Linked DNA regions of Canis lupus familiaris. The main gene of each other region encodes a partner of the protein of the gene in region 4 in a complex. Links are inferred from orthologs where the notes say so. Each region holds a gene or a part of one and is shown on either strand. Other genes may lie near its edges.

The links.
Region 1: the proteins of MAPK8 (region 4) and DUSP16 are in contact, whole or in part, in a crystal structure (PDB 4YR8), measured with the Homo sapiens proteins. The link is inferred for Canis lupus familiaris from reciprocal best matches to the Homo sapiens genes MAPK8 and DUSP16. Residues at the interface, in NP_001310257.1 of Homo sapiens: Arg189, Val196, Ile197, Leu198, Gly199, Asp229, Ile231, Trp234, Gln253, Thr255, Val256, Thr258, Tyr259, Val260, Asn262, Arg263; in NP_085143.1 of Homo sapiens: Phe215, Leu267, Asp268, Tyr271, Lys275, Pro279, Ile281, Ser282, Pro283, Asn284, Phe285, Asn286, Leu288, Gly289, Gln290, Leu292, Asp293.
Region 2: the proteins of MAPK8 (region 4) and ATF2 are in contact, whole or in part, in a crystal structure (PDB 6ZR5), measured with the Homo sapiens proteins. The link is inferred for Canis lupus familiaris from reciprocal best matches to the Homo sapiens genes MAPK8 and ATF2. Residues at the interface, in NP_001310257.1 of Homo sapiens: Asp112, Ala113, Gln117, Val118, Met121, Glu126, Arg127, Tyr130, Leu131, Tyr133, Val159, Lys160, Ser161, Asp162, Cys163, Val323, Trp324, Asp326, Ser328, Glu329; in NP_001243019.1 of Homo sapiens: Phe36, Val44, Lys48, Met51, Thr52, Leu53, Lys54, Phe55, Gly56, Pro57.
Region 3: the proteins of MAPK8 (region 4) and MAPK8IP1 are in contact, whole or in part, in a crystal structure (PDB 3VUM), measured with the Homo sapiens proteins. The link is inferred for Canis lupus familiaris from reciprocal best matches to the Homo sapiens genes MAPK8 and MAPK8IP1. Residues at the interface, in NP_001310257.1 of Homo sapiens: Lys83, Asp112, Ala113, Gln117, Val118, Met121, Leu123, Glu126, Arg127, Tyr130, Tyr133, Val159, Lys160, Ser161, Asp162, His286, Val323, Trp324, Asp326, Glu329; in NP_005447.1 of Homo sapiens: Arg157, Pro158, Lys159, Arg160, Pro161, Thr162, Thr163, Leu164, Asn165, Leu166.

What each region holds. Positions count from the first base shown.
Region 1 is NC_049248.1:12,463,791-12,471,245, forward strand, and holds the start of DUSP16 (dual specificity protein phosphatase 16), read right to left. Parts: upstream 4,350-7,455; 5' UTR 3,836-4,349; intron 1-3,835. Other genes in the region: CREBL2 (cAMP-responsive element-binding protein-like 2), read left to right, coding at 4,350-4,735. UniProt on the Homo sapiens protein: Dual specificity protein phosphatase involved in the inactivation of MAP kinases. Dephosphorylates MAPK10 bound to ARRB2.
Region 2 is NC_049257.1:19,390,674-19,397,555, forward strand, and holds part of ATF2 (cyclic AMP-dependent transcription factor ATF-2), read right to left. Parts: intron 3,253-6,882; coding exon 3,074-3,252; intron 2,261-3,073; coding exon 2,146-2,260; intron 1-2,145. UniProt on the Homo sapiens protein: Transcriptional activator which regulates the transcription of various genes, including those involved in anti-apoptosis, cell growth, and DNA damage response.
Region 3 is NC_049239.1:43,941,868-43,948,749, forward strand, and holds the end of MAPK8IP1 (C-Jun-amino-terminal kinase-interacting protein 1), read right to left. Parts: intron 6,794-6,882; coding exon 6,476-6,793; intron 6,111-6,475; exon of another isoform or gene 6,058-6,110; coding exon of another isoform or gene 5,854-6,057; intron 5,003-5,853; coding exon 4,921-5,002; intron 4,640-4,920; coding exon 3,827-4,639; intron 3,645-3,826; coding exon 3,569-3,644; intron 2,982-3,568; coding exon 2,809-2,981; intron 2,624-2,808; coding exon 2,514-2,623; intron 2,408-2,513; coding exon 2,291-2,407; intron 2,193-2,290; coding exon 2,122-2,192; intron 1,987-2,121; coding exon 1,888-1,986; intron 1,583-1,887; coding exon 1,510-1,582; 3' UTR 774-1,509; downstream 1-773. Other genes in the region: C18H11orf94 (uncharacterized protein C11orf94 homolog), read left to right, coding at 1-72, 310-383, 539-660. UniProt on the Homo sapiens protein: The JNK-interacting protein (JIP) group of scaffold proteins selectively mediates JNK signaling by aggregating specific components of the MAPK cascade to form a functional JNK signaling module. Required for JNK activation in response to excitotoxic stress.
Region 4 is NC_049249.1:429,144-436,694, reverse strand, and holds the start of MAPK8 (mitogen-activated protein kinase 8), read right to left. Parts: upstream 3,930-7,551; 5' UTR 3,781-3,929; intron 3,175-3,780; exon of another isoform or gene 3,101-3,174; intron 2,629-3,100; exon of another isoform or gene 2,479-2,628; intron 1-2,478. UniProt on the Homo sapiens protein: Serine/threonine-protein kinase involved in various processes such as cell proliferation, differentiation, migration, transformation and programmed cell death.

The DNA.
Region 1 (7,455 bases), on a different chromosome or scaffold from region 4:
GAATTGCATGCCTTGGAGGTTCCTTTTGAGGAGGAAGAAAAGATTGAAAATCATGAATATAAAGCAGGCCCAGCACCCTGAGAAAATATTCTCCTTCTAAACTTCCTCCCACTCCTTTAAAAATAAAAAAATACATTTGCTGTGTTTACTTTACCGAGATCAGTCTCATTCTTGGCACTCCATACCCACTCTGAACAATTTAACACATGGATATTAAGTTTGGTCTGTTATTATTTTCACCGATGCCTTTAGTGATTGTTCAGTCTCCTGTACGTGTGAATTTCTACTTGGATTATAAAATCCTCAAGGATTTATACTTATAGAAACTAATACTCTCAGGATGCCTGGGTGGTTCAGTGGTTGAGCATCTGCCTTCAGCTCAGGGAGTGATCCTGGGTTCCCTCCTGGGATCAGAGTCCCACATTGGGCTCCCTACAGGGAGCCTACTTCTCCCTCGGCCTGTGTCTCTGCCTCTCTCTGTCTCTTGTGAATAAATAAATAAAATCTTAAAAAAAGAAAAAGAAAAAAAAACTAATACTCTCTCTTGTTCTTCCCTCTTTGTTACCAATTCTGAGTACTTCTCAGAAAATGTTTAACACATGACTACACAATACTTCTTAGTAAGACTTTCCATGCTTTACAAAGTCTTCTTTTATGATGTGATTAAGGTTTACTTTTATAAATTAGATTTTAAAAATATTTAAAGTAGTTCCACACTTTTTTTTTTTTAAGATTTTATTTATTTATTCATGAGAGGCACACAGAGAGAGAGAGGCAGAGACACAGGCAGAGGAAGAAGCAGGCTCCATGCAGGGAGCCTGATGTGGGACTTGATCCCGGGTCTCCAGGATCATGCCCTGGACTGAAGGCGGCGCCAAACCACTGAGCCACCGGGGCTGCCCAGTTCCACACTTTCTAAAGTGAGCATGCTTATAATTCTTAAATTTAAATTTCTATTAAGGGGTGCCTGGGTAGCTCAGTCGGTTAAACATCTGCCTTAGACTCAGGTCATGATCCTAGGGTCCTAGGATTGAGCTCCTCCTCTGGTTCCCTGCTCAGTGGGGAGTCTGCTTTTCCCTCTGCTCCTCCTGCTCATTTTCTCTCAAATAAAATTTTTAAAAAAAATAAAATTTCTATTTTAATTGTGATGTTCCAAATGCACAGAAATACAAAGACAACAATACAACTCCACTTCCAGAGTTAACATATTTGCTTCATCTCTTTAAAAGTTAAATATACAACTAGCCACTCCCCATCCCAAGTCCCTCCCTCCCTCCCTAGAGAAAACCATTCTCCTGAAACTGGTATACACACTTCCCTGCATGTTTTTAGATTTGTACTACATGGTTCAAAAGGTCTTAGCTCTAAATAAAATCTTTTTTTTTTTTTTTAAAGGCCTTATCTCTCCTTGAAGGGCTGGTGATTGAGTCTGCAAACAGATCACACAAAGCCTCTGTAGAAGGATGGGAGTGGATAAGTGCCATTGCAGAGGACTGGGTACACTTTTGTCAGCTGGGATGCAGGAAGAGACAGTGGTAGAGGATTAACCCAGGGGAAAAGCTGTTTCACCTCAAAAAAGAGGACTTAGTGACAAGGGCATAGCCAGGGAAGCAAAACTGAGGCCAGCGGCACAATAGAAAGCTTTAGGGGTGGAAAGCAGCCCCTGGAGATGGAGAACAAAAGGGGTAGTAGGTGAGGCAGAGAGCTCCAGTGAGCACAGACTTTTGCTCCCCTGATCATCAGAGAGGATGTGGCTAGCTGTCTCTGAGACCTCCAGGAATGCAGTTTGGGGGTTAAGGGTGGGCCAAGCTGCTGAAACCCCAGCATGCCAGACCCATTACCAGCCTCAAGAACTGGCTACATGGTTTTTATTTGGAGGAAGTGACCTCCTTTAGTTCCTCTGAAGCATTATATAGATCAGAGATGACTCAACTTTCCTGTTACGGGCATAACTCGGAGATATCATGGGTTCAGTTCTCAGACCACTACAATAAAGCAAGCTGAATGAATTTTTTTGTTTCCAAGTGCATGTTAAAGTTATTTTTTCACTGTTCTGCAGTCTATTAAGTGTGGAATAGCATTATTCCTTAAAAAGTGTACCTACCTTAACGTAAAAATCTTTATTGCTAAAAAATGCTAACCATCATTTGAGCTTTCAGCAAGCCATAATCACTAATCACAGATCACCATAACAAACATAATAATAACGAAAAATTTTCAAATGTTGTGAGAATTGGGACACTCGGGGAGCTCAGTTGATTAAGCGCCCAACTCTTGGTTTCCGCTCAGGTCATGATCTCACAGTTGTGAGATCAAGCCCATGGCAGCGGCATTGGGCTCCGTGCTCAGTGGGGGTCTGCTTCTTTCTCTCTCTCAAATAAATAAATAAATCTTAAAAAAAAAAAAAAGAAATATTGTAAGAATTACTAAACTGTGACACAGAGACACAAAGTGAGAAAATGCTATTTGGGAAAAGGGCATTAATAGACTTGCTCAAGGCAGGGTTGCCACAAACCTTCCATTTGTAAAAAGCACAATAAAGTGAAGTACAGTAAAACAAGGCATGCCTCTCTCTATTGCCCTTCCTCAACTTGGAATTGAAAGATAAAATAGAAGGTACCCAGTTAAATTTGATTTTCAGATAAACAACAAATGCTTTGTTTAGTAAGTGTGTCTTAAATATTGTATGGGACATACTTATACTAAAAAGTTACTTGTTTATCCTAAAATCAAATGTGAGTGTTCTGTATATTTATTGCTAAATCAGGGAACTCCAATGGAATTTTGGAAGGGTTTTAGGAGTCTTTGAAAAGGACTGGGTCAGTGAGTTCTTCAGAATAACATTAAGGAACATTAATGAATTTTTATCAAATTTTCCGTGGTTTAATTAGGCTAAACTAACAAAGAGCCACCGACTTTATTAAATCAGGAGGATGCAAAGACACTCTTAGTTATTTTTTAATGATTTTATTGAGATATAAGTCACATACTATAAAATTCACTCACTTAAAATGTACTATTCAGGGGATGCCTGGATGGCCCAGTTGGTCAAATGCCTGACTCTGGTTTTGGGTCAGGTCAGGATCTCAGGGTTGTGGGATCCAGCCCAACGTCAGACTCTGTGTTCAGCACAGGGTCTGCTTTGGATTCTCTCTCCGCCTCTGCCCCTCTTGCTCTCTCTCTCTCTAAAAACAAATAATAAAATAAGATGTATAATTCAGTGTAGGGGTTTTTCTTGTTTTGTCTTGTTAAAGTCAGCTCTATCCCCAACTTAGGGTTTGAACTCAAGACCCCACGATCAGGAGTCCCACAATCCACTGACTGAGCCGGCCAGGCCAGGCGCCGCACAATTCAGTGGTTTTAAGAATATTCACAGAGTTGTGCAGCCGCTGCCCAATCAATTTTAGAACATTTTCTTTCTTTAAAAGATTTTATTTTTAAGTAATTGCTAAACCCAAATGTGGGACTCAAACTCACAACTCGAGATGGAGTCCCATGCCCCACCCACTAAGCCAGCTAGATGCCCTTAATTTTTGAACATTCTCATCACCTTAAAAACCAAACACACCGGCGCCCACTAACGATGCCTCCCCACACCTGCCCCACCTCCCTGCGGTTCCCAACCCTAGCCCCTGTCAACCCCTAGCTAACCGTTGGTCTCTTTAAATTACCTATTCTGGACCTTCCATTATAAACGGAATCTACAATATGAGGCTCTTCATTTTGCACGTTGTCAAGGCTCATCCACACGGTAGCACGTATCAGCACTTCGTTTGTTTGTTTGTTTTTCCACTTCATTTTTATGGTCTAATAACATTCCTTTGCACATACATACCACATTCGTCGGATCCATTCATCCGCTGATGGACATTGGGGTTGTCTCCACTTTTGGACTATTATGGATAAGGCCTCTAAGAGAGAACACTGGTGTGCAAGTTTTCATTTCTTTGGAATTGCCGGCTATGTCGTAACTTTACGTCTAATACGGTGAGGCACTGCCAAATTGTTCCCTAAAGCAGCTGCAGCCCTGCACGCTATTAGTTTCCTTTCCTCTTTTTATGAAGAAGCTTCAGGGTCTCCTCGGCGTCCCGGAGGAGGGCCTGCTCCCAGGGTTCCTCCCTCCCGAGGGCTTCCACGGGGCCCCAAGCTCGTCCCACCGGTGCCCAGAGCGCGGCTGGTCCAACCCAGCGCCCCGTTGGAGACGTAGTCTGGCCTCCCGGCTGGCCCCTCCCCCGCACCGCTCGCAGGCCCGAGGAAAACAGACGCCTGGCTGAGGGTGTGTGGACATTGTAGTTTTCTTCGTAGTCAGCCCCGCAGAGAGTGCGTTAGAGAAAACTACAATCCCCAGAATGCCGTCGACTACGGCACCCGAAGAGGCCATTCCGCGTGCAGTGTTCCCGCCCACTCTCCGGTCCGGGCCGCTCTCCAGGGCGTCTGTAAACACACCCAGAGACTGTCATGGAGGGGGAGGAGGAGGCGGCGGCGGCGAAAGGAGGCGTTTTGGGCCGCCTCCAGGGTCCGCTCTGTCATTCCTGAACTGGTCCCTCGTCCCCGTGACTGTGGCATCAGGGAAGCGAACTGTTAGGCGAGAGGAGGAGACAGTCAGAACCATATCCCCTTCTTCCCCCGGGGCGGGGGCCGGGCCGGGCCGGGCCAGGCCGGCTGAGCCGGGGGAGGGCAGGGGGAGGGAGCGCCTGGCCAGGCCGGCCTGTCCGCGGAGATGGATGACAGTAAGGTAAGTCCTGTGGTTTGCACGCGCAGCTGCCGCCGCCGCCGCCGCCTCCTGCTTGTCGCTAAGGGCTAGACCCGCCGCTGAACCTCAGCCCGGTAGCCACGCCAACACCCAGCAAACACCTGCCTTAGACATCCCGGAGCCTCCGGCTATTACCCCCGTGGTACCCAGCCAGGAATTCAGGGGACGGGGCGCTGCGTCTTTCCAGAAGGGGCCCTCTCTGGAAATTTCTCCCTCCCAGGGCAAGCCTGTTTGTCAGCTTTTCCAGGTAGTGCCAACCCTCGTCCTTGACTTGCCCAGCAAAACGAGTGAAGAAACTTACCGTGCTTTTCTTTTTGCCTTCCCCTGACCCCCTTCCAGACTTTCCCCAGTTTGGAGACCTTAATTAGGGCACCCTGAACCAGCCCTATTCCCCTTGAAGGTTCCCCTTTCTTCTCGCAGCCTCCCTTACTCAATGCCCCATTCATATAATCAGTTCACTCCCCCTCTGAGCTATTTTCCTGTGGTTGGTTGGTTGGAACACTCTGCTAAGCTCCTGTTGCTATTCGTCCAGAATCTAACCTCCTCTAGAAAGCCTTCCCTAAGAAAAGTAGTGAATTCCTTCTTGTTAATCTGTCTTAATATCCTACCACCATTCCCCTATCGCAATCCAAATCACTTGTCCCTGTGATTCTAACAGGCGTTGTTCATTCTTGGCTGATTCATGTAGTTTGTGTATATAACGTATCTCTGCCCTATGTCTATCTACGTTAGTGTTATCTAGTTTTATTTCATGAAGATAGGGATGATCAGCTTATTGATGTTTTAGAATGTTTAGAAAATTGGACTTTTTTTTTTTTTAAAGGAGTCTGACTTCTAGACTTTACCAATTTTTGAAGTAGAAAGTCACTCCTTTATGCCTTTCAGAGGTCTTCCTTTTCAGTCTCTGGCATACTGCTTGTGCTAGCTTTTTTTCTTTCTTTGGGTGCCCTTTCCCCCTCCCACCTTACCATTAACACTTTGCAGCTGTCACGTTTTTGTTTCACCCACCCTTAGAATGAAAAAAAATTTCTAGCTTTTCTGTGCTGCCTGCTTTATTCTACATTATCTCCCTCTTCCTGCTCTTACAGAAGGCTCTAAGAAAAATGATTAGACGGAAGGGAAAGCCCAATGCAATAGTCTGGAATTGAGACTCACCTGGAGAAACAGATTGTTTGTGAAGTAGCAAACCCCAACAGGAAGTTGTGTTTCCAAGACAGAAAGGGGAAGTTCTGAAAGTTTTCCAGACATCAGAAAATAATTTTTCCATGAATGCCTTGTTAGCTTGATTGTTCAGTATTATTAATTTTGAAAGCAAATCTGAATACTGTATCCATTATCGTTTTGCAGAAAATAATGTTATGGCTCCTTAAGGATGCTAAAATAACATTGTTCTTTAATTTCCTTAATTTGAGGCAATAAATTCTACAAAATCTTTAGTTCAGACTTTTGAAACATTTAATAACTCTCAAAATCTTCAGTAGTCTCAACTCCAAGAAAAATACATAGGATTTTGAGCTATTTTTCTTACCTGTCAAATCACATAGGAGTCATTTCTAAAGCTAGCAAACTGTAGTGGAGAGTATAAAATTTTATTGTTTTCCCTAAAAGAATGAAGGTAAATCTTGGGGTGTAGACGATCCATAACTTACTTCCTATAGGGTTCACAAGTAATGCAAAATGAACTCAGTTCTCATTCTTTTTAATTGATTATTTTTAGAAACCAGCAGTTACTTAAATCTTTAATGATTATGGGAAAGAAAATCCACTCCACATGTCTCTGGATGGACAGTGCTTCTGTGAATACACTACTTTCACTTTGAATACATGTCATAGTTGTGAATGAGTAATACTTAAATGCCATGTACAGCAAAATCGGAACTACTCTTCCGGCACCGGGCATTATGAAACAGCCCTTAAGTCTTTGGCAGCTCCCAATCCTGCCTTTCTCTGTGCTCTAGTTGTTGGAGTCCTGCAGAATTACATTGTCCTGCTAGCATACACATACATACTCACACACAAAACACATTTTCTTTTTTTTTTTTTAGATATTTATTTATTCATGAGAGAGAGACACAGAGAGAGAGAGAGAGAGGCAGAGACACAGGCAGAGGGAGAACCAGGCTCCATGCAGGGAGCCCAATGTGGGACTCGATCCCTGGCCTCCAGGATTATGCCCTGGGCCGAAGGCAGGCGCTAAACCGCTGAGCCACCAAGGGATCCCCCACATTTTCTCTTCACATTATGTATAGGTAATGGAGTCTCAGGTTCCATTTTCTCCTGAGTAAGAGGAGGTGAGAGTTGGAGTTTGGGATTCTGGTGGCTGAGCATAAAGTATGGTGGGGGGACACCTGAGTGGCTCAGTGGCTGAGCGTCTGCCTTTGGCTCAGGGCGTGATCCAGGATCCAGTCCCGCATTGGGCCCCCTGCAGGGAGGCTGCAGAGGGCTCTCTGCAGAGGGTTTCTCCCTCTGCCTGTGTCTCTGCCTCTCTCACTCTCTCTGTGCCTCTCATGAATAAAAAATATATACATATTTTTTAAAAATAAATGAATAAAGTATGGTGGGAGAGAAAAAAGGGTGCCAAATTAGTTGACAGCAAGGCCAGGGGAATAGAAAGAGGATGCAGTGGTCAGGAGTGGCAGTTATAGAGAGACAGTATTTGAATGAGCAGGTTGGGAAACAGATGATGATATGAGGACCTCCCT
Region 2 (6,882 bases), on a different chromosome or scaffold from region 4:
CCTGATTTATCCTTTAAAACTTGTCAATTTCTGAGACACTTGCTTCTCCAATCTCTAATTTTCAATGTCTTTTTTTAAATAGTTTCTTCTTACAGAAACTCAATTTTTAAACTGATGCAAAATTTCCCAAAGATCTGTCATACTGACATTTTGAATGTGAAAGGAAAAAATGTCAAAACTTGTGACAAGTAGGCAAATAACTTCACAATGAATTTTGCTCTTCTAATTCAGTTTCTAAAATACATAAAGAAAGGTTCGTTTGTATATAAATATGCACATAATGACAAAGAAAGAACCTGGTTACCTCAAATAATTTCTCTAGAAATAATGTGGAACAGATTTTTTTCATTTTGCATACCTTTTTAAAAAAACTAATATTAACATTGGTAATTAGTTATTATATAGCTACAGTAGCTCTCCTTGCATTTTAGTTTTATCATAATTATATTTAACAGGGTAACTATATAATCTGAAATTCAAGGGCAAGAATGTTTCCCCCTTCAAAAATATCCTAGAAAAATAGGAAGTAGTCACCTAATATCTGAGTCCTTATAAAGTCACTCAAATAATGCATTTTGAACAGCAAGGTTCTGTCTGAAGATGATACCTCATCTTATAATTATGCCAATCAGTGCTAATTTTCAATACTTAGCAAGGCCACTTGGAAGAATGTATTAATAAAAAATATTTCATATTAATTTTAATAATTTTCCTGGGGGTATAATCTCACCAAAATGTTGGAAGTTATTGTAAATAGACTTTTAAAAATAATTTTCAAAGGCACCTGGGTGGCTCAGTCAGTTAAGCGTCTGCCTTCAGCTCAGGTCATGATCCCACAGGTCCTGGGATCCAGCCCCACATCGGGCTCCCTGCTCAGTGGGAAACCTGCTTCTCCCTCTGCCTCTGCCCATCTCCCTGCTCTTGTTTCTGCTCCCTCTCTCAAATAAAATCTTGAAAAAAAATTTTTTTAAGCTATACAATAAATGATTATATTGTACTGATCAGAAATAAATATCTGTAAGGTAAAAAAAAAATTTCTTTTTATCATATGAAGGAGTATTAGGGCTTGGGTAAGATTTCTAGGAAGATATACATTCAGAAAGTGTTATGTTGAAATTACTTAGGTGAAAACAAAAAGTGTTTTGAAAAAACTGTGGTAGGTGTTTTAAAAAGTGCTTTTTTTTTTTTTTTTAAGATTTTATTCATTTATTCATGAGAGATACACAGAGAGAGGCAGAGACACAGGCAGAGGGAGAAGCAGGCTCCATGCAGGGAGCCGACGTGGGACTCGATCCCGGGTCTCCAGGATCACACCCCGGGCTGCAGGCGGCACCAAACCGCTGGACCACCAGGGCTGCCCTAAAAAGTGATCTTAATGATGAAAACCTGAACACTGAAGACACATTTGAAGAAGAGTTTGAATAAAATTGTTATATGAAAAGTGAGAAAAGAAAAAGTATTTCTTACTCAAAAGAATGTGCATTTAAATATTCTCTATATTATTAAGTATTACAAGTAGGTGTTTAACTTGCCTATGACTTTCAAAATTTATATATTTATATTTAACATGCTCAAGAGACTTCTCTTTTGGATCTGACATGCTGATTTACCCTTCAAATGGTCAATTTCTCTGAGACATTTGCATTAGCAAACTGAAGGACTATCTACTGTTTTAGACTGTTTAGATTTCCACATGCCTGGGCCAGCAAAGGAATTCTGTAAACCCAACTTGACCATAAAAGTTCAGAGAGTGTTCTTATAAACAATTCCTACAATAATCGAAGTATCATGGAGTTACTGGACATGTGTTCTAGTATAAATATCTTCCTAAAGAATAGAACTATGTGTTAATATTTTAATTCTATGAACTAGTCAAATTGAAATGGGTTAAATAAGGATAAATTTCTTAATATTAACAATTGAAGGAAAAAAATTTTTTGGAAGATAGAAAAACATTTTCTAGTCAATTATGTTTCCCTTTACTGGTATATGCTACCACTAAAAGGGGAGTAAATACTACTAACTACTACTAAGTATTTTGTTGGATTCAGTTTCATAAACCAATCAAGCTTCCGAAAGTGTATTTTCTGATTACAAAGATCAGTTTGGTATGAAGAAAAGATTTAGTCTAAATCTCAAACTTACTGGGACTGCAGCTGGAACATGCACATTAGAACTTGTAATTGATGCAGGAATAGCAACAGGCATGGTCTGTCCATTAGGAAGATGCAACAGAAGAGGAAATGGGCCTGGTACAGGACTAAGAAAAACAGAAGAAGGAAAATTAAAGATAAGAAATCCTTATTAGTCATCTCTAAAAATATGAGTATTTTTACTATTTTTTAAAAATATATTTTAAAAATATTTTCTAACCATCACAAAGCAAATTGCAAATTTTTACTATTTTTAATTGCATCTTAAATGTATAATACATAAAGCAGTGTGGAAAAACAACAGGGGAAAAATAGGAAAAGTTAATGGATTTACTTAGGACAAGCTCCAATGTTAAATGAGAAAAATTCTTATCAGAAGCTCTTGAGGGGCACCTGACTGGCCCAGTTGGTGGAGCATGCCAACTCTTGATCATGGGATTATGAGTTTGAGCCCCACACTGAATGTCAACATTACTTAAAAATAAAATCTTAATAACAAAACAAAGAAAGCTCGAGGGATATGTGTTAAGAACTAAAAATAAGAGACCGCCTTAAATTCATAAAGTTGATTTGTTTTTAAAACTAAATTTTAGTTGGGGTGCCTGAGTGGCTCATTTTGTTAAGTGTCTGACTCCTAGATTTTGGCTCAGGTCATCTCAGGGTTGTGAGAGTTTAGATTCTCTCCTCCTCTCTCTGATGTTCCCCCCCTCCCCCAATTAAATTTTATATATTTGTTTTCTAATCTATTAGATAATATGAAGAAAAAAAGACAACCCAAATACTTTCCAAAAATCAAAGCATGCAGAATATGATTAACACATACCCACACATACCCCTAAGGCTACAATTTGAATAATTAAATGTCTTAAGAAAAACTTAATTCATAAACAGTTTAATGACTAGCCCAAATCATCACTTACACGATTGGTCTGTTGGAGGATGGTGCCTGGGTGATTACAGTACTTGAGGTTGGTGAAGGTACTGCTTGCTGAATAATTACACTTGAGTCAGAACTTGTAAGCAGCACGTTGGGAACCTGTAATGATGCTGGACGAACAATAGCTGATGTGGGCTGTGCAGTTTGTGCCAATGGTACCTCCTATTTAATGAGATAGAGAAAGAGTAGGATTTAAAAATGTAAGTCAATCCATGACGTTAGAGTGAACAGAATATAACACACTTTGAAAAGTGTCCACAGGATAAATATCCTCCCCCAAAGTAATTTCATGTTAACTTTATTTAAATAACTTAAATATAATATAAAGAAAATTTTGGAAGTAGCTATAAAGCTTTTCAAATGCAACGTTCATATTTTAATTTAAAGACATCAGAGTGGTTTTTTTTTTTTTTTTTTTTTTTTTTTTCCAGTACAACTTGTTTTCCTATCAATCCAGAAATAGGCTGGGCAACTTGGCTACGATTCCATGAGAATTTCTGTGAAAAGTAAAAATATAATTTATTCTCATGGAATTGTAGAGCTTAAAATCCAGAGAGATTGCCTAGTCCTACTTCATCATTATACTGTAAAAACAGGAAACAGGTCCAGGGAGACTGGGTTTATGGTTGATACAAATTCAGTAATAGAAACGGTTAAAAAAATTTTAACACAATACAAATGTTTGTTAATTTCAGGTAGCTATTACTATCCCCCACTCCTGATAATTTCCCAATGTCAAAAGGGCAAGGAATACTGATTAACATCCTGAATGTAAAATAAATAATTACTAGAGTGAAATCTTTCTAAATTAAAGGAAAACACAGGGCAACCTGGGTGGCTCAGTGGTTTAGCGCCGCCTTTGGCCCAGGGCATAATCCTGGAGACCTGGAATCGAGTCCTATGTTGGGCTCCCTGCATGGAGCCTGCTTCTCCCTCTGCCTGTCTATCTGCCTTTCTCTCTGCTGCTCATGAATAAATAAAATCTTTAAAAATTAATTAATTAGAGGAAAACACAGAATCTGCGAGTTAGTCAGGACCTTAAAGATGGTTTTTCCCCCCAGTTTCACAGATTAGGAAGAGATTAAGGGCTTTACATAGAACTTCTTAACTAGTTAGAGTAAAAATTGGGTCTATTGTGTTCTTTGAATTGGTCTTTATGCTGCCTATTACCAAATCTTATTAAGCCCCTTGGAAGAAAGATCAACTAGAACTATTGGAACTTCATTTATTCAACAGGTTTGAGAATTTATAGCATACCTTCAAAGGGCTAGGGGAAGAGACAATAAATAAGAAGAAAATTTCAGATAATAATATGTTACAGAGTAATACTACAGCATAATAAATTATGAAAGATTAACTGAGGGAAGGTTAGAGTTGGCTACTTCAGAGAGCAAGTAAGGTGAGCTTCTTTGCAAAAAAAAATGGTGCTGAATGAATGGATACTGAAAAAATAACAAGCGAGAGGGAGAGGGAAGCAGTACTAAGAGTAATGTCTTCGAGGTAGGAAATAACTTAGAATATTTGATGAATGTAACACAGTGGCATGAGGTGAAGGCTGGATGAGCAGATAAGCTCAGATCAACGAGGACTTAAGAAAGGAGTATTAGTCTTTTTTTTCTTTTAAAGATTTATTTGAGAGAGAGAGAATGCACCCATGAATGGGAGGTGCAGAGGGAGAGGGAGAGAGAATCTTCAGCAGACTCTAAGCTGACTGCAGAGCCCAATACTGGACTTGATCCTATGATCCTGAGATGAGCCTAAACCAAGAGCTGGACATCCAGCAGACTGTACCACCTAGGCACCCTTAAGAATATTTAGTTATCTTAAATGTAATGGCAAACCACTGAAAGATTTTAAGCAGAAAAGTGACTATAATGTGTTAAAAACAAAGCCATCTATAGAATATTGGAGATGGAAGCAGCAAATCCAATTAGAAGATAATTGTTACTAATCCAAGTAAAAGATGATGATGGCTTGGAGTAAGGTGTTAACACTGAAGACTGAAGATAAATTGAGGATATTTCAGAAGGTATATCTGATGTCTAAGAAGATTTGCTGTTGCTTTGGTGTAAAGAAAAAGAAGGGAGGCCCTTGAGTGGCTCAGTTGGTTGAGCATCTGACTTTGGCTTCTGTCATGATCTGGGGGTCCTGGAATTATGCCCTGCATCAGGCTCTCCACTCAATGAGGAGTCTGCTCATTCCTCCCCTTCTTCCCCCACTTGTGCTTTCTCAAACAAATAAAATCTTAAAAAAAAGAAAGAAAGAAAGAAAGAAAGAAAGAAAGAAAGAAAGAAAGAAAGAAAGAAAGAAAGAAAGAAAGAAAGAAAGAAGAAAGAAAGAGAGAGAGAGAGAGAGAGAGACAGCACTAAGGATTCTTGGTTTGAGCAACCAGATGGGATGGAGAGAAAATTTACTGAGCTAGAGAAAACTATGGAAAGAATCAAGAGCTCTGACTTAGATATATTAAATTTAATAGGTCTATTAGACATAGAAAAAGAAATGTCAAGATGGGAGCTGTAAATGAGTATGGAAATCCAGAAGATATCTTGGTTGACATAAGTTTGAGAGTCAACAGCATGTAGCTGTTTTTTAAAATTTATGGGTGTAGATGAGATCACCTAGGACGAAAAGTGAGAAAGACAAGAGAAGGCGGCCCAGAACAGACTTTTACAAGTTGGCACAACTATGCCCTGTCCAGAGAGAGGCTATAGACCTATAGACAGGAATGCAGGAAGAAGGATTACCCTAGAAAGATCTAAAATAGCAATGAAGAGGGAAAAACTGTTGAGTGTGGAGGAACTGGAAAGCTCTTTAGAAAAAGGATATTTATATCACAGAATTAACAGCATTTTCTATTAACTGTGATTATGTGGAAACAATCTTTATGTCCAAAAAGAACAGGATAATACATTAAGATAATGATAAAGTGCAACCATTAAAAATTTTTCTAATGACATGGGAAAGTGTTCATTATACTACAAAAGTAAACTAGGATCAGGCTGCCTATAAAAATATTTTTAATGTTATTTTATTTTATTTATTTATTTTTAAAGATTTTATTTATTTATGAGAGACACAGAGAAAGAGAGAGGCAGAGACACAGGCAGAGGGAGAAGCAGGCTCCACGCAGGGAGCCCGACGTGAGACTCAATCCTGAAACCGCAGTATCATGCCCTGGGCTGAAGGTGGCGGTAAACCGCTGAGCCACCAGGCTGCCCTATTTTTTTAATGTTATTTTAAATTAGAAAGTAAACTGCCCAGCGAGAAGTCTGCTTCTCCCTCTGCCACTCCCCAAGCTGTGCTCTCTCTCAAATAAATAAAACGTTTTTAAAAAAGTAAACTACGGTTTTTGAATTTTTCTTTGTATCCATTTAATTATTCACATATATATACATATATATTCACTTATATATGTGACTTCTAATTACTCACTTATGTATGTGTATTTGTATAATATTTGCATGTATCTATGAAAACTGTTTCAAAATATTGGTAATTCTTATCACTCAGTTATGGGCTAACAAGATTTTGGTTTTCTTCTTCATATTTTTCTGTATTAAAGTATTTATAATGAAACTCACTTTATAATTAGGAAATGAGAATAACAATGCACGAAACCTCTTAGGTCAAAGCATTTATTCTTATGTAGAAAGTTACTTTTTCTACCTTACTTCTAGATCCTGTCATGACAGAAGTCCATTAATTCATTTACAGTTTTAGAATAACATAGTATACAAAAAGAACAAGATAATACATTAAGATAATGATAAAGTACAACTATTAAAAATTTTT
Region 3 (6,882 bases), on a different chromosome or scaffold from region 4:
CAGGGCCGGGCTGAGCCTCTTCCTCCTCTACCTCATCCTGGCAGCTGCACTCCTCCACCCCCAGCCACTGAGGTAACTCCGGGAGGGCGGGAGGGAGGGGGGGGGCCGAGGGTCAGGGGCCCCCAGGGGCTGGGGCCTGGCAGGTGGGGGGCTCTGTTGTGCTGCCTCCCGCTCCCCTCCCCGCAGAGGGGGGCTGGCTGGCACCACGATCCTGGGTGTCGAGGCTCACCAGTCCCCCACCCTGAGCCTTCACAGGGAGGTGGTAGTGGCCTCCAGAGCCAGGGCTGAGCACCCCAACATCTCCCACAGGCCTCAGCAATCTGTTCCTGAAGAATTCTCAGCCCCTCTGGAACTCTCGCAGCCACTTTCCGGCCTGGTGGATGGTAGGATCTCAGCCCTGCCCGGGGCCCTGATGGGGACACGTGCCCTAGGGGAGGGCGCCCACGACCAGCCCCGGGGTCTTGTCATCCCAAACGGCACCGTTCTGGGGTGACCTCGGCCGATTCCCCCAGCCACCCACACCCTCTTCTCTCCCTAGACTATGGGGTTCGACCCAAGCACCCCTGGCCACGAGGCCCTCGCCCCCTCCTCTCCCGGGCCCAGCAGCGCAAGCGGGACGGGCCAGACATGGCTGAGTATTACTACGACGCACACCTGTGACGGGAGCCCCTTATAAAGCTATTCTGTGCAGCAAAGGCTTGGGCTTTCCTGGCACAGACACCAGCGGGGGGCGGGGGGCGGGGGCCAGGGGGCACGAGACACACCCACTGCGGTCCAGACAGGAAATGGCACTTTAATAGTTGTGGCCAGGGTGGCAGGACCAAGCTGGGGCTACGGCCAAAGCAGCCAAGAGGCCCTGGCTGGCCCGGGCCAGTCGAGAAGCCTCCTTTTCCTGCCGGGACGGGGCCCTGCCGCAGCTTTCTTCTTCCCTGGCGAGGTCCCACCCGTGCCAGGGGCCAGCGTGACGGCCACCCGGAGGCCACACAAGTGACAGAGCTGGGAACAGGGACCGCACCCCCACCTGCTGCGAAGTCCTGGGGAGGTGGCTGGGCTCAGCCTGAGCTCAGGGCCTCCGGCTGGGGTTGGGAGCTGGGGGTGGGGTGGGCACTGGCGGGCGGCACGGGCTTCGTCAAAGTAGGAGCCTTTGCCAGAAAGCCGGAGGCCCAGCAGGGGAAGTGAGGCCCAGGATGCGACAACAGGGCCCTCTGCTCCTGCAGTGGACATCCTTCCTGGCCAGAGGCCTGACACCCCTCAGCCCAGCAACCCCCCAATCCCCAGGCAGCCTGCTCTGTCTTCCATAGATGAATCTAGTCCCATATATTACAATAAACTGCATTTGCCTCTCCCCATAAACCCCGCCCTCCCCCACCCTCGGCCAGAGGCCCCCACTTCCCCATCCTCTGGTGGTGACGGGTGCCCCTCCTCAAGCGGTGCTGTGTCCTGTCAGCAGCCAGCTGTCCTGGCCGCGGGCCCGAGGGCCCGGGGGATGTAGAGGGCCGGGCAGCGCTGCTACTCCAGGTAGATGTCTTCCGTGGGGCACGTGTACTCCACGAACTGCTTGTAGAACTGCTGGAAAGCTCTCCTAGGAAGCAGGCAGACACACGTGACGGGAAGAACGGGCTCTCCACCCAAGGCTTTTAAACTGGAGCCTCGGGGTCCCTGGGTAGGGCTCAGGGTCCCCCCAACCGAGCTGCTTGGCTCTGTTCTCTACACACTGTGCCTCCCGGGGAAGACTTCAGTCGAAGGAAGGGCCCAACCACCAAAACGTTTGGGGGCTCCTCCAGACCCCGCAGCCCTGACACCAGGCCACGAGGCGTGGAGAGCTGTGAGGAGGACTAGGGTGCACTCCAGGGCTGGGTGCTCGGCAGGACACACACACGGACATACCCCACGGATTCTGCGAGGGCTTTGGTGGATTCCTCGGACACAAAGACATGGCAGGCAAACCGGTGGTCAGCGGGGTGCTTGGTGATGAACCCAAAGTACCTGCGGGAGGGCAGCCGTCTGTGTGAGGGCGGGACGAGGGTCCAGACCCCTCCAGGCATACCCGCAGACCCGCACCCTACCGTAATGGCTCCGGGCCGCCCCCCTAGGCCTCACTCTCTGTCCCCTCCCTCTTACTTGTTGTTCTTTGGATGGTATCCACAGAAAGAGATGTTTTTCAACTGGAAAAAGTGGCTACATTTATTCCCCTACGGGAGGGAGAAGAGAGGCAGGGCATCATCAGCCCGCAGGGGCCACGGGTGGGAGATCTGGTGGCGGGGCTGGGGGCCGGGGCCAGGGCGGTCACCTTGGCCTCCTGGGAATCATCAGCCTTGACGCCGATCTTCACGCCCCGCACGCTGATCTCCAGGACGCAGCTGGATGGCGGGTTAAAGTGCACGGTGAGCCGGCGGGTGGTGGCGATCTGGGGGGGAGGGACAGGAATCAGGCGCTGGGCGACCCTCTCCCCGGAAGAGGAGGGGGACTGGGCTGGGGGTGGGCGCCCCTCCAAGGGGACAGGGAACAGGCACCTTTTGCATAGCGGCACAGAGCACGTCGTTGCCCTTGTGGTAGGGGACCTGGACCGAGCCCAAGAACTTCACCCGGAACTGGTCCACCCAGTCACTGTTTTTGGTCAGGGCTGGAAGGCAAGCGCGAAGTGAGGAGTGGAAGTGCCAGCGGAGGGGCCACCAACCCCAGATGTCCCAACTTGGCTGGGCCTAATGTCATCTCTGCGAGGGCCCTTCCTGACGGTGTGAAGTCTCCTGGCAGCGAGTCAGGGAAGGGCAGACGGGGGCCCAATGGCGAGGAGGGGAAGGACACTACCTGCCATATGTTCAGGCTCCTTGGTGACCTCGATGGCATAGTAGGCAGGAAAGACGCCCCGGGCGCCCGTGCGCATGTTGTAGGCTTCGTACCAGTAGTCCTCGGCCTGGAGCTCCACCAGCAGGGGGTCGTCCACCTCCAGCTCAAGTTCGTCTTCGTGTCGAGGCACAAACCTGTCCCCCACCAAGGGCACGTGAGGAATTCAGCACCAGGGCCTCCCGAGCCATCTGCTCGCCACGCTACTCTGAGGTCAGGTGGCCACAACAGCAGCACTAGTTCAATAAACCCCCTCGAAGTCTCCCGAGCCTGTGATAACGTTAGTTCCTGGGCGAGAGTAAGATCACACAGACGTGCACCTGCCACTGAGCTGGCGGGCTAAGGGAGGAAGTGCCCACAGCCACTCAGGGGAACCAGAGGTAACCGGGAGGGAGCACTTCCCCGGGAGGGAGGTGAGGAGTGTGCCTTGGTGTGGTCGGGCAACATCTCTGCTGGGTGCCCTCTGGGGCTCCGGCCCCCAGCCACACTACGTGCTCCATCCCAGACCCTGGCAACGCAGGAAAGGCCACACTGCACTGACCCATCCCCTCCCATCACCCTGCTCTGAGTTCCACCACGATGGATGCCATCCCCCTGGAACCAAGTGGAGGGAGGAATGCCAGTGCTGGGGGCTGCGTCCAGGCCACGCAGAGATGGCAGGGGCATGGGGGTGGGGGCAGGTGGCCCCAGTGTTGCCTGGGCACCCCAACCCTGCTGCTCTTACCTGAATATGGCCCGGTGTGTCTGCTCCTGCTCCTCCCCGTTGATGACACAGGAGAAGAGCCCGAAGGACTCCGCACCTGTACGAGGGGGGTGAGCTGGAGAAGAACCGTCCCACTTCCGGCTGAGGTTGCGGTGGGGGGCAGTAGCAAGTGCTCAGTCCCAATGCCCTGAGGTAGGCGGGCCAGGCCACCTTCCAGGGACACCCTCGGTCTGGCTCTCCCTCATCCCAGGTCCCCTACCGCGCCTGCTGCAGACTCACTGGAGGAGCGAGAGCGGCCACTCATGAAGACGTTCAGGAACTTCTTGGAGAAGTGGACGTCGGGCTCGTCGGGCGTGGAGTCCTCGGAGAGGCAGGCTGAGGGCCGTGGCCGGGGGGCCTCCTCGTATTCCTCCCCAATGGCCGACTCATAGGGTGACGAGGCAGAGGCGCAGTTGTCATAGACGGTGGCCGAGTCGCTCTCGTCGCTGTAGTCCCCGAAGCACGGCCGCAGGCTCACCAGCTCCAGCTGTGCGTGCTCATCCACCACCAGCGTGTACTTGACCGAGTCGTAGGACAGGGCGCTGGTGTCCGAGCTCAGCGAGGCCCGTGGAGGTGGCGGCGGCTCCCCAAGGCTCCCCCGCCACCCTCCGCCCGGCGGCTCGGCCCGCTCCGGGGACGACAAGCAGTCGAAGCCCTCGTCCTCCTCGCTGATGGAGGGGTGCGGCCGCCCCGCGGTGGAGGGGTAGGTGGCAGGGTCTGGATCGGAGCTGACGGACATACGGCTCTCGGCCGGTGGCAGGAAGGCGGAGGTGGGCTCCGCAGGGTCCGGGGGCCTCTGCACCGGTGTCAGGTAGATCTCCTCGGTGGCCTCTAGCCGCACGTCCGCCTGATAGTGGATGCGATCTCGATGCGAGTGGCCGCGGCTACTCGGCGGGGCGGCGGGGGGGCCGCCGGGAGGGGCCATCTGCGTGGCGGTGCTGCGGCGGCAAGGGCTGTCGGTGGAGGTGCCTCGGTCCTTGGTGGTGGTGGGGCTGCTCAGGGGCGGCAGCTCATCGCTCAGGCAGATGTGCTCATGTGGAGGCGTCTGCTCCCCTGGAGAGCAGGCAGGTCAGTGCTAAAGGCAGGTGGACTCGTCCCTGACTCCCAGGCCACCTGCCCCCTCCACTCAGCATGTGGGACACAGAAACCAGGGGAAGGCTCCGGGGCCAGTGCTCTCACTCCCACCCCAGCTGACTTCAGATGGGCCTGCTCCAGGCTATGGGACGGGCAGTTTACCTCAACTCGGCAAGATGGAGAGATTGCCCAGGTTTGCTCTCTGCAGGGGAAACTGAGTCAGGGCAGGTAGAGGTCCGGGTAAGGGAAGGAAGACTTACCGGTCTTCAGGGGTGATGATGACCGAGACACCCGATCCTGCCAACTGTGCTTCTTGCCCAGAGAATTATTATTCAGTGTGTCCTGTGCAGAAAACAAAAGGCCCTTGTGACAGAAGCAGTCAACAGTGCCCGGCACAGGGAGGCCCTGGCCCTGCCCCCATCAGGCCATCCCTAGGGCGTTTGCTGCACCCCCCGCCACACACACACATACACACTGGCCAAGGGCCTCACCCCCAACCCTCTTCAAACAGGCAGGAGGGGTGGCAAGTCATGGCCCTCCTGGCCAGACCTGCTGGCTCTGGGAAGCTGGCCAACCCTTGGGGAGATGCTCTTATCAGCCTCAGCAAAGGTGCTGATGGCCAATATGTGTGCTGGGGAGGGGGGAGGAGTGAGGGAGAAGCAAGAGCCATCTGGGGACAGAGCCAGACCCCCAGTCCCAGACATGGAGGCTTTCCGTGGTAGATGCTCACTTCCAGCCAAGTCCTGGAACTCAGGAAGCTATGATCTAGGGAAGGGGCAGGGACATTCTAGGAAAAGTTGAAAAAAGGGCAAGGAAGGGTCTCCTAGCAGGTGGCCTGGGGGACCGGGATGAATCATCCACATGATGAATCAATAACATGGTTCCCCCACCCCTCCAGGAGCACATGACTGAGAAATGACAGATGTAGTTGTCAGCGGCCTGCCTTCCTGGATCTCTCGGGCTGCCCACCCCACGCGGTTGGTGTCCTGGGTCCCCTCTCCACCATGCCTCCAGGCAAGGCTCCCACACACACTATTTAGGCCCCCTCCCCTGGGAACACTCATAGGCTCTCACATGCAGGAGTTTGGCTGCCAGAATCCACCCCAGAGACTTGTGGGAAAGGGGCCAATCCTCTCCCTGCAGCCCCTGCACCCTTCACCCGCAGCCCCACCTCCCGAGCCCCTCGTCTGTACCTCTCTTGACTGGGCCTGGAAGACAAAGGGCCACAGCCGGCTCTCCCCCACCCTATTCAACCCTCCTTGGCATCCAGCCACCCAGCCCAGGGGCCCTGGGCCCCCAACTCGGCCAGGCAGCTCCACCTCCCTTGTCTCTCCCCTGCCTCCGGGAACTCCCAGCTGCCCACATCTCACTCTGGCGGCGGCCTCCGAGGTCCCCATCTCCTCCTCTTACCAACCCTCCATGACCTCCCCCCGCCCGCAAGGACCACTTCAGGTGCTCTCCTCTTGGGGCCCCACACCCCTGGGGGAAACCGCGCCCCAGCCTGAGGCCCGAGCTCCAAACTCCTGCAACTAGCCCTCAAAGGCCTGCCCTGTGCTCCCGAGCCCCCTGCTCGCCTACTACCCAGGTCCCCCCACTGTCCGTCCCGTCCCTTCACCCCTTCAGCCTCCCCGAGGCTCCAAAGCCCGTCGGCCCGCCCCGGCCGCTCGCAGGGCAGATCCCACCCGCCCGCCTGGGGTCCCGCGCGCCCGGCAGGCCCCTCTCCCGCGGCCCCTCGCGCCTCCCCGACGTGCTCCCCGCCCCCGCGCCGCCCCGGGGCGCCGCCCCTCCAGCCCCGCCCCGCGCCGCTCGCCTCACCTGAGACCGCGGCACCTGCGGGAAGAGGTTGAGCGTGGTGGGCCGCTTGGGCCGGTACGTGTCCCCGCCGCCCTGGCCCTGGCCCTGGCCCTGGCCCTGGCCCTGGCCCTGGCCGCGGGGCGCCGGCTCCTGGCGGGGCTCGGCCTCGGGCGGCCCCGCTCCCGGCCGCCGCGCCGCGCGCTCCTCCTCCTCGTCGTCGTCGTCCTCGGCGCCGGGAGTGTCGCCCGCCGCGTCGATCAGGTCCATCTGCAGCATCTCGGCCTGCAGCCGGCTCCCCGCGCCGCCGCCGCCCCCAGACAGCAGCCCGGCGCGCGGGGGCTGCGCGGCGCGGGCGGAGGGGCGTCAGGGGGCGGGGCCGCGCCGGGGGCGGGGCGGGGCGGGGGCGGGGCCGAGGCCGCCGCGCACCG
Region 4 (7,551 bases):
CCTTAGCTTTCTAAAGAACAGACACATTTTAACCAAACCTAATGTACTACCAAATGTAAAAGGAGACATACATTTACACTTTATTAGCTATATTCGTGACATAACCCACCACCCTGAAAAAGAATGGCAGCTAATAAATTTTCTAAAAGATCTTATACACATACATACTCACATATAATTTAAAAAAATGGATTTCAATGAAATCCAGGTATCTGGGGCAGGCTTTTGTTTGTTTGGGGGAAGCCCTCTTATAAATCTTTTAAGAGAACATAAATTCACTGCTAGATGTGCTTTTATTCCCATCCCTGATCTCTGTGTCTCTCATGAATAAATGAATCTTAAAAAAAAAAATCCAACAGCCTGTTTACAGCTTTAAAAAAAAAAGTTAAGCAACTTTTCTATAGCTCTAGAACTTGTTGATGACAAAGTCTAGAAGACAGAACTGAGAAGTTAACCTAGGTCTGACTCCTGGATAAATCTAGTTTCACCTATCGCCCTGAATGATAGAACAGCTCTTATTTCAATACTCCTGTCTCCTTTTAGGTAGTAAAGTCTGTTGACTCAGAACTCATTTCTGAAATCAAAGTTCAAGTTAATCTGTATTAGAGTAAGAAGACCAATGTTTTTAAATGTTCGTGTAAAGAGCTCATGACTAAGACAATAAGCATCACAGCTCCCTGAACTAAGCAAATGATTCATATCTAGAACTATGTGGCTATAATTACTTCCTTGCACTACATAAATCAGAAAGGCTACTACCCATACCACTGACTTGACCAGAGACCTCTAGAGAACTGGCATCTTAATGTCAGACATTACTTTATACTTCTACATGTGCAACACAACATCTGAACTATCTAGATGATCTGAATGTGTCCAAATCAATTCATAGGCAAAACACACTAATATGAATCAGACTTCTAATATACAACTTCCTTGACTGCCTCTAGAATAGCTAAGGACTGGTCACTTAAATTACTTCAAGTTGTTTCCCTGAGCACCAAGTACCTTCACTTGGTGAAGGTCATTTCCATAGTATTAGGCATTGAGTTAAGATTCTAACCTCATTAATTTGGATGGAGTTTATTCTTAAATTTCCTTTCCAAGTGGCCGTTCTCTCAGGATCTAAAGGAGTATAATAAGAATATAGTTTCCTACTCTGTCAGGACACTTAAAGACAGCCCATTTCAAATTCATTAATGGAATATACTCACCAAAAGAATCAGTGATATCTCTTTTTAAACATAACTTAGGGGACGCCTGTGTGGCTCAGCAGTTGAGCGTCTGCCTTCAGCTCAGGGCCTGATCCCGGAGTCCGGGGACCAAGTCCCACATCGGGCTCCCTGCATGGAGCCTGCTTCTCCTCCCTCTGCCTGTGTCTCTGCCCCTCTCTCTGTGTCTCTCATGAATAAATAAATAAAATCTTTAAAAAATAAAATAAAATAAACATAATTTAGAGTGGAAAGGGGAGTAACTGCTAATGGGTACGTAGTTTTTCTTGGGGTGATGAAAATGTACTGGAATTGCATAGTAGCAATCAACGCAGAACTCTGAATATATTTAAAACCCATACTGATGCACACTCTAAACGGGTGAATTTTATGGTATGTCATTTGTATCTCAATAAAATTGTTATTTTTAAAAACCAAAAGAATTTCAAAAACACAAAAAACTGGATTGACATGTAGCCTTACAGTGAGCTACCACCAAAGGATTGTATCAGTAACACTTTCTGAAATCTGACATACTGTAACTAGACAAATCAATAAAAGTTTGGTATCTCATGATTTTCATTCCTTATCTTAATGAAGTATTTCCTTTTAATTTGTTCTCTGCATCAGGCAATACTATAAGCTCATTTCAAATTCTCTCATATCCAAAACATGCTAAAATTTATTAAACTGTGAGTGGAAAAACGATGTAACTTGAATAAATCAGTATTATTTGGAGTTTCAGGCCCATATGCTTCTCCAATAGTAAAATCTTAAATTCAGTTAGGCCCAAATGCTTCACCAAGGTAGAATTTTAAATTAAACATTTCTACAAATGCAATTAGAAATTAAACATTTCAAATAAAACTTTCATGTAGCTTATTTCCCATACTCTAGCTTTTCCCCTTACAGGCGTCATCAGAAACTTTTCAAGCAATGTTCAAAAAAGGACAAATTCAATCATTTTAGACCCCTGCTGTAATATCACTATGTCTGTGTGTGATACACATACTAAGAAAAAAAAAAGACAAAAACAACAAAAGCATTTTAGACAATATTTTATTTTAGGATAATGAATTAGAAGTGCTAGGAAAAAAAAAACTAAAATATTCAAAAGCCCCTGATGCGGTGACAGATAGTACAAATGAACGAATCACTTAGCCCACTGAAAGTGAGTTTGCAGAGAACTGTAAAGAACTGTAAAGACTGGATTTTAAATAGTATTAACCGTGAAGAGTTTTTCATCAAGCTCTTATTGAACACTTACTATATTCCAGGCTAGGGCTGGAGACACAGATGAAAGACAGGCCTGTCCTCAAGGAAATCCCATTTTGATTGCTTGCTTTTGTCAGGCACAGCACTGAGCATGTTCCCTTACAGCATGTGATCTCCTAGGTTTAACCCACAGCAGGGAAATCTGAGATAAACATTACAAATGACTTTTAAGACTGTAAGGCTGTTAAAACTGAAAAGTTAAATTTGTAAATAAAGAAAGCCATTGTACGTTTAGATCAACCTCCTAACTGTACTAAAAGAAAAAAGAAAAAAAACCCAAAACCAAAAAAATAAATGACCCAGAGTATAACGACACCTTTAACGCACACTGCTTACATAACTCATTTAAAAAGACATCCATTACATTTCAAAGCATCCTCCTCCATCAAAAAAGTATTTCTCTTCGCTTCAAACTCTGAGTACAGTGCTGAACAGCTGCTCAATGAATGAATGAAATAAACACATGTTCCACCGGCCCAGATACCTGCCGGATGCTCATCCCAAAGCACAACGGCCTGACAGGCCGGAATCCTACCGAGGCGGCTCCTGAATCTCAGAGGTAGAAACAGTGACCCCGCAACCCCGATGCCCGTAGTCGGCCCGCGGCTACGCACCCTCAGACACCCGCGCGGCAGGCGTTCGTCGCGATCCTCTACGACCGACTCGGCTCCACCGTCTGAGCCTTGGGAACACGAGTGCAAGACAAAGGGGAGGGGGCGGGGAGGGCCGGAAGGTCCGCACCGGCGACCCCCGAGGGGAGGCCGCGCTCGCGCACGCCGACCCCGGCCCGGCCCCGCGGACCCCGCAGCCCAGGGCTGACGGCGCCTCCGCCCGCAGCCTCGGCACAAAGAGAGCCCGTGCGCGAGGGCGGGCGTCGGGACTCGGCGGCCGCGGGAGCGAGTCAGGCGCCTCCGCCCGACCTTCCCCGAATCGCCTCAGGACCCGCCGCCCAGCGCCCGCCCCACGTTCCCTCCCGACGCGGACGCGGCATCCGCGAGGGCAGCGCGCGGGGCTGTGGGGCGGGGCGGGCGCGCGGGCCGGGGTCCGGCAGCCCCACGCCCCCGGCCGCCCCGCCTCCGCGCCCGCCATTGTTCCCGCGCCGCCCCCGCCCCGCCCCGCCCCCGCCCGCCCGCCGCGCGCCCCGAGCCGCCGCGCTCCCGCCCCCACTCCCGGGAGGGGGTCCCGGCCGCGGAGAAGGCGGCGGCGGCGGCGGCGGCGGCGGCGGCGGCGGCACAATAACATAAACACGGCGGGGCCGCCGGCGCCCGGGCCCCGCGGCAGCCGCCGCACTCACCCCGCAACGCAGCGCACGGCGACTGGGAAGCCCGCCCGCGGGACTGGCGCCGTCCGGGCGGTCGCCACGGCCGTTACCCAGGGCGGCTCCGCGCACCCGGCCCCGTCGTCCGGCCCCGGCCGCTCCGCTGAGTAACAGGAACGCGGGCCGTCACCGCGCACGCCCGCCCACGTCATCGCGCCGGGCCCGCCCCCGCGCCTCGCAGGCGGCCCGCGGGGCGGGGCGGGGCGGGGCGGGCGGGGCGGGGCGGCCCCGGGGCCCGGATGCGGGGGCGGGGCGGGGGCGGGGCCCCTCCGGGAGCGGGAGGCCGCGCGGAGGTCGCCTGGAGGCGGAGCTGCGGGGGGCGCGCCGGGACCGGGCGCGAGGGGCGTGTCCGGGGCCGGTGGGGGCGGGGCCCTGCGCGCGGCACGTGCGGCTCCCGGCCCGGGGCGTCCCCTAGTGGGAGCCGGAGGCGAGGTGCCTGCCCTGAGGCCGGGCGCCCGGGAGCAGGCCCTGGGCCGGGCACACACCCGAGACACAGAACGGGGCTTACCTTGACCGACAGCACGTTCCTTTCAGGGCCTCGTCACCTACGGCGAGTGATTGTTCCTTTCAGCCACCTGGAAGAAGCTGCCTCCTGTTTTCCCCAAATCCAGCTCGTGCTAGATTTAATTCATCACCTTATTTATCTCTGAGCTCCCGCAAAGCGTGTATTCGTTAGTTGCAGGAGTGACGAATTGGCAAGCCGTTAAATATCCAACAATGGGTGGAAGGGCGTCTAAATTACATCCATCCATCCAATAGAATGTAGCTTAGCAATTTAAATGCCAGGTGTTCAAGGAATTCTTAACAATACAGGAAAATGTTCACGATGTATCATGAAAACAAAGAAGCAGGTCTCTATATAATGATCCTACCTATGTATTATGCATACATGGAAAAAACCTGAAAAGAAATTTGCCAGATTAGGGGATCCCTGGGTGGCGCAGCGGTTTGGCGCCTGCCTTTGGCCCAGGGCGCGATCCTGGAGACCCGGGATCGAATCCCACATCGGGCTCCCGGTGCATGGAGCCTGCTTCTCCCTCTGCCTATGTCTCTGCCTCCCTCTCTCTCTCTGTGACTATCATAAATAAATAAAAATTAAAAAAAAAAGAAAATTACATTACTTTAATAATGAACACATGAATATTGTTGAGTAAATGACTGAATCCAGGAATACTATCTTCCCTTGTCCTGTTGAGTTGGCCTGTTTCCAGTGATTCTGAAATGAAATATAAATGTGAACAATCATTTGTACATTCTCTCCCCGTTTCCTTGCTCTCTCAGCCTTTTTTCCTTTCTTCCTTTATTTCTACAATAAACAATTATCACATGCCCATTCTGTACCTGGCACTGTGCTAGCACTGGCAATACAATGGAACTTACATATGTAATCAACATAATATGGAATTAATAATGGTAAACAAATGCAAAATGATCACTGCAAATTGATATGGCTGCAAAGTATTATGAAACTGATTGGGACACCTGGGTGGCTCAGCAGAGGCGCCTTCAGCTCAGGTCCTGATCCTGGGATCCGGGATCGAGTCCCACATCCGGCTCCCTGCAAGGAGCCTGCTTCTCCCTCTGCCTGTGTCTCTGCCTCTCTCTCTCAGTCTGTGTCTCTCATGAATAAATAAATAAATCTAAAAAAAACTGATGGGTAGAATTAATAAGGCTAGGAAAGTCTTCCTTGAGGAACTGCCTCTTCTATTCTAAAGTTAGAATAGATTTAACTAGGCAGAAGGTATTTCAGATGAAGATAACTTGGTGTGTAAGGGTCCTGTGATGAGAGGGAGCAGGGTGAGTTGGAGAAACTGAAGAAAGCCAAGTGCTGCTGGAAGGACAAGAAGGAGCTATGAAATGAAGTTGGGAAGGTAGGAAAGAGACAGGACCTAGTGCAGTCATACTACCGATGTCTTTATCCTAAGTGCAATTGGAAGTCCTGACATGCTTCAGCAAAGAAGTGGAGTGGGCCAGATGGTAGAAGGGTCTAGGGTGATGCTCTAGAGTGATGGTTATGGAAACAGTAAGAAGAAGAATCTGAAGACCATTTAGGAGATCCAATGCACAGAACTTGGTGACAGATTAAGCAGGTAGTGAAGGGAAGGGGAGTCATCAAGAAAAGCTCATAAGTTTCTGGTTTGTAGCCAATGGTGGCTATTGGTACTAGTTCACTGGGGTGGCCATCTTGGCAGAGGATGAAGCTTAAGTGGAAAGACTGTGAGAGCAGGTAGTTTGAAGGCTTTTGATCTGCCCAAAAGAGATGCCACATTGACAGGTGGATATACAGAGCTGGGCTCAGGCAGATAAGAGATAAATATTGAACATTCAACATACATTCATGATAAAAACTCTTTAAAAATTAAGCATAGAAAGAACGTATCTCAACACAATACAGTGCATACAGGACAAGCTCACAAGTAACATCATACTCAATGGTGAAATACTGAAAGCTTTTGCTCTAGGATCAGGAACAAGACAAGGATGTCCACTCTCACTACTCCTATTTAGCACAGTACTAGAAGTCCTACTAGAGCCATCAGGCAAGGAAAGAAATTAAAGGTATCCAAAGTAGAAAGGGAAAAAAAAAAAAAACAAAGAAAGGAAAAAACAAAATTGTCTATATTTACAAATGACATGATTTTATACACGGAAAATCCCAAAGATTCAGAAAAAAAAAAAAAAACTCTTTAGTTTTAATCAATGAATTCAGTAAAGTTGTAGCATACAAAATTAACAGTAGTATTTCCAGACACTAACAATTAATTTTCTGAAAAAGAAAAAAATTCATCTCATTGATAATAGCATCAAAAGTAATAAGATATTTACAAATAAATTTAAGGAAGCAAAAGACCTCTACTCCGAAAACCACAAGACATTGATGAAAGAAATTGAATAAGACACGAATAAATGGAAAGGTATCCTATGTTCACAAATTAGGAGAATTAATATTGTTAAAAAGTCAATACTACCAAAAGCCACTTATAGAGTCAATGTAATCCTTATCAAGATTGCAGTGGCATTTTTTTCAGAAGCTATACCATAAAGCTATTGTCATCAAAATAGTATAGTACTGGCATAAAAAATGGATAAATCGACCAGTAGAACAGAATTGAGAGCCCAGGAATAAACCCAGGCATATATAGTCGACTAGTATTTGACAAGGGAGCCAAGAATATTCAATGGAGAAAAGACAGGCTTTTCAATAAAAGATGCTAGGATAATTGGATATTTACATGTAAAATAATAAAACTGGGCCCATCCCACTCACAAAAACTAACTCAAACTGGATTGAAGACTTAAATGAAAGACATGAAAACCGTGAAATGCTTAGAAGAAAATATAGGAATAAAGCTCCTTGGCATGGGTCTTAGTCATGATTTTTTGGGTGTGACACTTAAAAGTACAAGCAACAAAATAAAAAATAAGTGGGACTACATCAAACTAAAAAGTTTCTGCATAGGGGATCCCAGGGTGGCTCTGTGGTTTAGCGCCTGCCTTTGGCCCAGGGCATGATCCTGGAGTCCCGGGATCAAGTCCCACATTGGGCTCCCTGCATGGAGCCTGCTTCTCCTTCTGCCTGTGTCTCTGCCTCTCTCTCGCTCTCTGTGTCTCTCATGAATAAATAAGTAAAATCTTTTAAAAAATAAAAAATAAAAAGCTTCTGCATAGCAAAAGAAACAACAAAGTGAAAACAATGGGAAAAAATATTTCCAAACCATGTAAGGGGTTAATATTTAAAATATATGA